Linked DNA regions of Drosophila melanogaster. The protein of the gene in region 2 interacts with the protein of the main gene of each other region in a pairwise test. Each region holds a gene or a part of one and is shown on either strand. Other genes may lie near its edges.

Evidence for each region. The genes of interacting proteins can lie anywhere in the genome.
Region 1: the proteins of CG15136 (region 2) and Mtl interact in a two-hybrid assay, tested with the Drosophila melanogaster proteins (one large-scale study listed by BioGRID).

The regions. Positions count from the first base shown.
Region 1 is NT_033777.3:27,634,642-27,640,402, forward strand, and holds Mtl (Mig-2-like), read left to right. Parts: upstream 1-1,907; 5' UTR 1,908-2,195; intron 2,196-2,219; exon of another isoform or gene 2,220-2,412; intron 2,413-3,196; 5' UTR 3,197-3,246; coding exon 3,247-3,362; intron 3,363-3,431; coding exon 3,432-3,664; intron 3,665-3,737; coding exon 3,738-3,898; intron 3,899-3,981; coding exon 3,982-4,059; 3' UTR 4,060-5,230; downstream 5,231-5,761. Other genes in the region: CG5611 (uncharacterized protein), read right to left, coding at 357-463, 525-1,398.
Region 2 is NT_033779.5:17,046,642-17,050,264, forward strand, and holds CG15136 (uncharacterized protein), read right to left. Parts: upstream 1,641-3,623; 5' UTR 1,488-1,640; intron 1,428-1,487; exon of another isoform or gene 1,425-1,427; 5' UTR 1,341-1,424; coding exon 1,130-1,340; intron 969-1,129; coding exon 607-968; 3' UTR 520-606; downstream 1-519.

The sequences.
Region 1 (5,761 bases), on a different chromosome or scaffold from region 2:
AACAAAAATTCATTGTAAGTAAGAGGACAAGTCCGATTACTCGACGCTAGCATATTTTTTATAAGTGTAAACTAATTGTGAATGTTGAATCGATCGACAGCAAGGAATACCGAACTTTGTGCTTTTCCTCTCAACTCTTTTTTGTAGTTAGGCTTAATTTCAAGGAAAATTCGTTATTGTAATTGTTGTGAATATTGAAATAAGCGCGAGTCGTAAGCGATTTAGGCGGTCAACTACATAAATCATTAAATAAATGTATTTTACGTGAATAAAGGCTTTCGTTTTATATATAACAACAAAGTATTGCAACTAACCAGAAGAACAGAAGTTTTGTATATATCAGCTAACTACATATGTCATGTCTTTTGCTTTTGTTTTTCGATCTCGATTTCGGCCTTTTCCCAATCTGGAATGGTTTTCTCCTTTATGCTCCACGAATCGGTTTTGGGGCCCTTTATTTCAGCTAAAATATAAAAAAGGAAGGTAACAAAGTGTTTCTAGGAATGAACACGAACACTACTCACAGTTCTTGAAACGCTTCACGCCCTCCTGCATATCTGTTATCATATCTGAGGTAACATTCATGATCTCATTGTAACTGGCCACATGGAATCCTGGTTTGTTGTAGGCATTGGCATTTTCAAGCACAGCATTCCTGTCGTGCATTAGGGAAGCCATGGGGAACTTGGCAATGGAAAAGGCCAGATTAACAGCTTGACCTAAAGCTGTGCCTGTGGCCACAACGCGATTCACTAAACCGATTCGCCGCGCCTCCCCAGAGTAGATGCGTCTTCCAGTTGCGATGATCTCCAAGGCATTGGAGTAACCCACTGCAGCGGCCAGCCGCACAGTTCCACCATCGCTCAGGGGAACTCCAAGGCGACGGTTGAAGAACCCCAGAACTGCAGTGTCCTCCATCACCCGGAGATCGCACATTAGAGCCAGTTCCAATCCACCGGCCACACAGAAACCGCTGATGCCGCAAACAAGTGGCTTGCGGAGATGCCGCCTAGTTGGTCCGACGGAGCCCTCGTGACGCAACAGAAAGTTGAGGCTGCCGCGTTGCGCCTCCGCCTCTAGCTCCTCCAGATCATAGCCTGCACAAAAGGAGCCACCTATGCCGTAGAGCACACCCACTGGAGAAGTATCATCCGCTTCGAATTGGCTAATGGCTTCGGTCAGCTGCTCCGCGGTGTTGGCATCAATGGAATTACGCTGCTGCTCGCGATTTAGGCCAATAAGTGTTATGTGCGAGTCCTTCTCCACCAGAACTGTGCGGGCAGGGGCACCCTCTTGAGATTCGCTTTCCGCATTTCTTACAGTAGCCAAAGAAATGCGTCTGCAGCCCGAACTAGTTTGGTTTGCACTCTGTAAAAGTTTATAAACAAATCTGCTCATTACGACGCTCGAAACAACAACAGTGGACATAGGCAGCATGGGCGTAGTCGATAGCAATTAAAGGGTATTGAACTTACATAAGATAATTTTAAAATGATAATTTTTTAATTAACAGGTAATTATTACAATATTCTGCTCGAAATAGAATTAAATAAATAATTTTGTTTACAATGTGAAAATTGGTTGCAACCCCTCTCCCACAACCATGCCTATTAGTATTGTATAATGCCAAATCCGCCTGAGCCCTGCACCTTTTGCAGCACTGCTTGTCAGTTTCGAGAGAGCGGAGCTGGACTACCCGCTCTCTTTTTTCACGCCAAGTCTAGCTGATTTTTAAGTGCCAATTGTAAAAAAAAGTTTATTTTAGTTTTGGAAAAAGAAAAACGACTTTATACTGGATGATATGCTTATTAAGTTTAGTTATTGGTACCATACATTTAAGTGATTTTTTTATATTTACCGTCAGCTATTTTCTGGCCCTAAGTTGGCACCACTGTCAACGGCGAGAGAGAGAGCGTCGCTGCGCTGTCAAAAAGGTGGGTGTGTGTTTGTGTGGAGTGGAAACAAAAAGGAAAAACACGAAAATTATTCGGGGACGCTGCGTTTTGTCCCTCAAACAGATATTTATAAGTAAAAGCCGCTGCGAAATAGTGCGAATCAATTATTTAAATGCGCCGCATGGACCATCGCCTCGAACGCATATCGGTAGCCGGAAAACGCACAGTGATATAAGCCAAGTACAAAACAGTCGCCGCCTGCCGACAGACAAAGGAAAAGGATAGGTGGTGGTGAAAACGGTAAAATAATATTGTATTCCCATTCGGTGTTGTGCCACAACAAAAGATTTTCATTGCTACCGCACCCGCCCCCGCGGCCACGCCCAGCCCCGTTGCATGTGGCGCAATATGTGCCGCCTCTGTGTGTTGAACTTTAATTGAATCGGTTATGAGAACTTAATTGTGTCTATTTTCGGGCGGTTCATTTTCCCATTTTGTGTTTCTTTTTCTCGATGCGGTGCGTCTGCCGGTGGCTTCCGCGTCACCACAACACTCGGGCGACCCCGCCCACCGCCGAAGGGGCGCCACTGGAGGGGCGGTCGCCATTTGGTCCGCTGCTCCCATTTATGCTTTTTGTTTTTCCCCGTCTGTGTCGCCCATCATGATCTATTTTTGAAAATTTTATTTGCGAAAACAAAGTGCCACCGCAACCGAAATGAGACCCTCGTTCGTTTTATTAGGCTTTATGGGCCTCCGCCGCTGCGGTTGCTTTCTTTTTGCGGCCGGGACACACCTTTCGAGAGCCCTGCCTTTGATCATCCCAGAGATATACCGTAGACCTTCGCCATTATACTCTGTACAGTAGTACTTCCACAGCTTGGACATTCCCACTTTACGATGTAGCATACTCCAATAAGTATAACTTCCATTAATACAATATAAATAGTTTGCGACTCAGGAAGCAAGTATCCTGATTCAATTTGTCTAGATATTCAAATTTTAAAAGTTGCCAAATTCCATTTAAGCAATTGTTTATCTTATATATATGTAGTTGCGCGCCAAAAACGATGTGGTAGTTAATTTATTTATAAAAACCTAATAAAACGAATAGGATAATTTATTGTGTCATATATGTATTTCTACAGCATTTGTTTCTATTTTAAAGAATTTTTATTAAGGAAGTACGACTGTGAAATAATTTGCGGTCAGTTGGCACTGGCGGGTTTATTGCCTCGAATAGAACTTAATTAATTGAATTAAGCTGGCGAAGACATTCATCTTCCATCTTATTTTGCCCACAGCACACAGACAGTACACAGCTATCGGCACAGGCACACTCAGCACACTCACGATGTCAACCGGAAGGCCCATAAAGTGTGTAGTCGTTGGTGACGGCACCGTCGGAAAGACCTGCATGCTAATCTCCTACACGACAGACTGCTTTCCCGGCGAATATGTGCCCACAGTGTAAGTTTGTGCCTCGATAGCCGCAAACCGCAGATCGATATCTAACTTTTACTATGATATCTTTCACAGCTTCGACAACTACTCGGCGCCCATGCAAGTGGACACAATACAGGTCTCGCTGGGACTGTGGGATACGGCGGGTCAGGAGGACTACGACCGCCTGAGACCGCTATCCTACCCGCAGACAGACGTTTTCCTGATATGCTACAGCGTGGCGAGTCCCTCGTCCTTTGAGAACGTCACCTCGAAATGGTATCCGGAGATAAAGCACCACTGTCCCGATGCGCCCATCATTCTAGTTGGTAAGTTGCCAAGCGACATGAAAACTGCAATCAGAAAACGAGAATCATACATATATCTTTGGGCGTATTCCAGGCACCAAAATCGATTTGCGCGAAGATCGAGAGACACTCAGCGGCCTGGCAGAGCAGGGACTGACGCCGCTGAAGCGCGAGCAGGGCCAGAAGCTGGCAAACAAGATACGCGCTGTGAAATACATGGAGTGCTCCGCCTTGACGCAGCGCGGTCTCAAGCCGGTAAGTCATCGGTGCCCGGCACACCCTCCACCTACCCCTTATTCATCATTAAATTTCCCTTCCCACTCCGATTGCAAATTCAGGTGTTCGAGGAAGCGGTGCGCGCGGTGCTCAGACCAGAGCCGCTAAAGCGACGCCAGCGAAAGTGTTTAATAATGTAAATAAGGTAGAATGTTATTGGCTTTGGCGAAGTATAGAGATTCCTCGGAAGCGACACGTACACCGGCACAATGGCCACAACAAATTGACACTCACGCAGCGCCCTCATCGACAAATCAATTACATGTATTTATTTATAAAATTCTCCGTACTCTCGTAAAAGGCACCGAACCCGGAAAGAAACTCTAAACAAACGATAAATATTGTACGAAATTCTGTGAATCGAAATGTACTGCCATCAAAATTCGTATGAAATTTCTCTTTGTTTGGCTGTTTTTTTCTGCGGATCGTTGCTGTCACACATTTGGCAAACCACGATTCCCTCCCGCAACAACTAAAAAAAACATTGTTAACAAAATCGGTACCACAGATAAATCATAAATCTAATGCACTACATATGTAGAAATCTAGTCAATTGAATCGAATGTATTGTACGAATAGTATCTGGCAGAAAGAGAAAATTATAACAACCGCAGCAAACATTGGTTTCGCATATCACGAGCATCTATGCATTTCCTAGTTTCCCATTAAATGTATTATAGTTATATATAGCCATGAGCTAAGGCAGCCAATCCGCAGCTAACCAAATCTGAAACCAGGCCAATTCACTTGACGACGAGCTCTTAGAGAAGCCACTTTTTATGATATTCAAGCATGCGCATTTTTTTAATTCTAACTCGACCCTCGAATCATAATCATAATCACTTGAAGCTCATTTGACGATGTCTTTTGAAAATGTAACAACTGTTGTTTATTATTTTATAATGACCTATTTATTACCCTAACTTTAAAAACGAATTGTATAAACAACTTTTATGGCTTAAGTAGAGCAAAAGGATGATGTAAATGGAAAAAGGCAACTAAATGCATTTAAATGTGACGCGACTCGAATAATCGAAAGGAACAAGAATCAAAAACGAATACAAAACCTAAAGAAACCAAGAAAAGCACACAGTTTTCCAAACACACAATGAGCACGATGATAAAGACGCAATGAGACGTAACGAAATCCCAGGACAATTTTTGTACTAATTATATATAGAAAATCAAACGCAAGTCTTATGTAAATGAAATGTAAACGAAGGCCGTTTGGCTCCAGCGATGTAGTAGCCGTGAAACAGATTTAATACTTACGAAAATATATACTGTAATTATATAAAGAAACAAACAAACAAACCACAGCTGTATTTTGTGCTTAACTTTGCCTCTCATTTAGTCGTTTATTGTTATGTTGTAAATGCCAAGTTTCGTTTCCATTTCGGTTCTAAACAATCAACGGTTTGATAAAATGTATTCTGCATATGCATGTTTTAGAAGTGCGTGCCTCGATATCAACTTGTGCACAAATCTCTGAGTGCTTCGATTGGGTGACGTCACGTGCGACTTGTGGAGCAGCTCCTTCCTCGACAGGCTCAATATAGGCGGAATGGCTTCGAGTGGACGGCCTGGCCGGGCTTCTTCTTGGGTCCCGCGCTCTTGGGACGCTTGGGCTCCGAGTTGAGCGAGGGCATGGATACGGAGAGAACCAGGCACTCCGCCGGCAGGGACATGGACGAGGTGAGTGTGGTGGCCCGCTGGATGCGCGGTGCCTTCCAATACTGCGGGAATCGAAAGAGAGGTGTTTAGAGACAATCGGCTCGGACTCGCTGGAGGAGCAGGAGTGATGCAAAATAGTTGTCATAGCTCGATTGAGGAGATGGCGAC
Region 2 (3,623 bases):
TTATTTTATTGAGTTTAAAAATTAGTTATTTAAGCCCGTACTATTTTCAGTGGTAGTTAAATCTGAAGGCAGTCCTGCTGCCATGCTACCCATAGACAGGTGAATCAAGCTTTCAGCTGCCATCCAGCGAGGAGAATTCTGCGTGCGGCAAAAGTTTTCATGCATATTCAACATCATTAGAAAGTCAGGACAAAGTAGCTGAAGGCAGAAAGGCAAGAGCCTTCGTGGAAAGTAAAACAAACCCGTTTAGGGCGCTAAAATGTAGGCTATAAATTATGTCATAGGTATAGTCGACCTTTCTCCACGGAGCTTCCTTTCTTCCAGTCTGCCGTAAGTGGGCTTGAAAGGAGTGCATTTAGAAAGTTCTGAAAAGCGTCTTAATTGCAACGACGTTGGAAAATACCTGTAGAATTTAATTCTTCGCGCTGGAAGCGTATTAAATTCAGAAAAAATGTAATTACTTACTAAAAGGGAAATCCCTTATAAGCACCTATGGTATAGGAAAAAAATACACAAATTGAGAGAGTAAGGAAGCAATTTACTGAGTTGCATGTAGGTGTGAAAACAAATGGAAAATAAATATATAAATTTGCCATTCCGTGGGACCTACATGACCAGACAGCACTTTTTGGCCGGTCTGGCGGAGTGGCGATTCTGAAAGCCATTCCTTTTTTCCTCATCTAAAGGTTCCTCCACATCACCCACAGTTTCGCGAACTTCCATTGCCTGGCTAACTGATGTGCTTCCTAGCTTGGGATCATAGGACTCGGCTCCGATATTCATGGCCTGGACTTCGTCAAACTCCAGTTCGCCAACCTCCTCCTCGCCAGGATCCAGGCTGTAAACGAAACCCGGATGGCGCAGACCCTGCTGCTGCTGGATGCTGGCCTCACGCCAGATGGACTCGTAACGGGGCTCGTAGCATATGTCCTCCGAGGTTGCCGTACTCCACCGGGTGTACGTAGATACTGCATGGGTATTAAATTTATAAATCCATCAGGAAATTAAAAAGAAATAAATAAATGCACAATACTAAAAACCTATGCAAGTCAAAGCATAATATATATAAAGGGCTTCAAAATACAATATATATTGTTTTAAATAAACATTATTTCCTTTCCGTACTTACACTCATCAAATAGCTTTTTGGCCACCTGGCTGGCCTTGAAGTCGGGCACAAACACAGGTGCGTTGGGGTTTAGGCGTCGGTCCAGCGGTCGGCTAACGACGGGGGGCGTGTCGCCCGCGGCGGGCGGAGGGCAGCTGCCAGGAGTCGAATGGGCGTCACCCACTTCCCCTGCAAGTTCGCTGGTCGATGCGGTGGCGGTGTCCTTCAACATGGTCAGCAGAGCACTTAACACTTGAATAGTTTTTCAAATCTACATTTGAGTTCCGGCCGGACGATTTCAAGTAGCTTTTCTATTCTGCTTAAATGCTCAGTTGACAATTATGGCAGGGCAAACTACCTGATTATTTGATTTTCTTACCGGTATTCAGTGCCAAATATTAATGAATGACCAAAGACAGCCGCTTCCAAAATATTTTGCCAAAACTTTGGTATTGGCCGATTTTTGCTATGAGGGTGTTTATCTCTCAACGTTTGTCTTCACGAAGTAATTTGTGTTCCTACTATTTTTAATGCTTGGCCTTTGAAATTTAATTGGATAAGTAATGAAAAGTCAACTACGATTAAAGCTACACTATTATTTACATACACAATTTATGATTGCAGAACGTACAACTCAATTAAATAGAAAACTATTTCAAAAAAAGTAAGTTAACCATGCTCCTTTGTCCCGATTCCTTGTAATTTCTTTGAAATGTCAAAGGTTATTTACCTCCATTCAATTTCTGTTAGATTGTTATTTTGAGGATTTATGGGTTTATCCATCTTATTGGGGCTTAACCCGAAAACTGCTTCAAATCCATGCATGCCATAATTCGATTTCATAAATTTGATTCCACTTTCAACTGTCATGTTTGCTCCGCTTTTCTCGTTGCAAATAAAGTTTGACTTTTAATTAAATGGCCGAACTTACAATAATTTTAATAAGCCGTATAAATAAATTATAACAAATTTCACACAAAGTGAGATAAAATTGCCTAAAACTCATCCTGACATTCCATCTTGCTGGTGCGTGTGTGTCAAATTTAATTTTGTGAATACCGCAAATTGACAAATATTTTCGTTTGGCCAACAAGAAGAAGACCAAAAGCACCCAGCACTCTAATTCAATCTGGCTGGTGTATTTTAATTGATTTGCGCTAAAATTTATTGATTTCATTTTGTCAACAGTTGTTGCCAGATGAACCGCAAAGAACGCCTGAAAACCTCAGACCCATTCACCCATTCAGCCATTTGCCCAACTTGAGCTCATTATGGCAGCTTCAGCCCCCTTGGAACCCAATATTTGCATTCATTTTGTGTGTGTGCTAATTTGCATGTGCGAGTGTGTTAAAACATAAATTAGTTGACTCTGCCGACACACCCACACAATCGAATAAAATAAAGAGAAAGGGGTTAGAGAAAGTTTCAACCGAGAACCGAGAATTTATTGCCAATTCATTGCATTCGCGCTGCTGTATCGAGCGATTTCGCTAACCGAACAAATAGCGGTTTTAACTGTTTTTAGTTAATTGCGCAAATTACTTGCGCTAATTTATTGGCCATTTTGTGGAATAGACAAGGTTTTTCAGCTTATAGGTTTAGTCCGACTAATTTGTTAGTTTCTGAAGGGATGTTTTTTTTTTTTTTGACTTCTTATTCTATACATTTTGTGTAAAAAAATACCATGTAGTTCTTCCTGTTTCAATAACACTATTAAGCCATTTGACAATTATCTTCGACAGTCATAAATCCGTTAAATTAAATAAAAGGCCAAAGTTTATTTAGCTACTCAATCAGGGACACAAACAACACTCAAATTGTTGGACAGTTTCAGATTCAAATGGCAAGCGGTGGTCGAAGGGCAAAGTAAATAGATGAAACGAAGTCTTCGCACTTTTGTAAAGTTGCTGCTCAGTGTTGGCGTATTTCCCTTGAAGGAGTAACGTATCATATCTTTTATTCAGCTTTGAATGAAGAAGTCATGTCAGAATATGCCTCAGATATAAACCGTTAATATAAAAACGAATAATATTAAATTGTATTATATTACATTATATTATTTGTGAAGGGAAAGTAGCCAAGATGACAGCTCTGGTCGCTCAGCAGTCAGTCAGTCACCCACTTGGTCAGTCACATGGGCTGCACATTCAAGTGTCACTGATTTGAGGATAAGCACTTCACAGGCAACTTGATAGCCCCCCAATCCGGACCCCCTCCATATATATATGTATATACATATATCTTTGTGTATGTATGTATGCTGTAGTGGCATTGGAGCGGTTGTGCCGTGTTCCGACGGGTTGCTTGGTTGCCTGGCCAGTCAGCCGTGGTCGGGAAATATCACAGCAGTACTCTCTCTCATTCGAGGGCCACTCGTGCAAAGCGAACTAATTTGAATGTATAAAATCAGCAGCACTGCCGGGAAGCCCCACAGGGACAGACATACATATCCGCAATAATATATATAAAGGGACAGCAGATAGACAAACTGACTGACTAACTGACTGGTCGAATG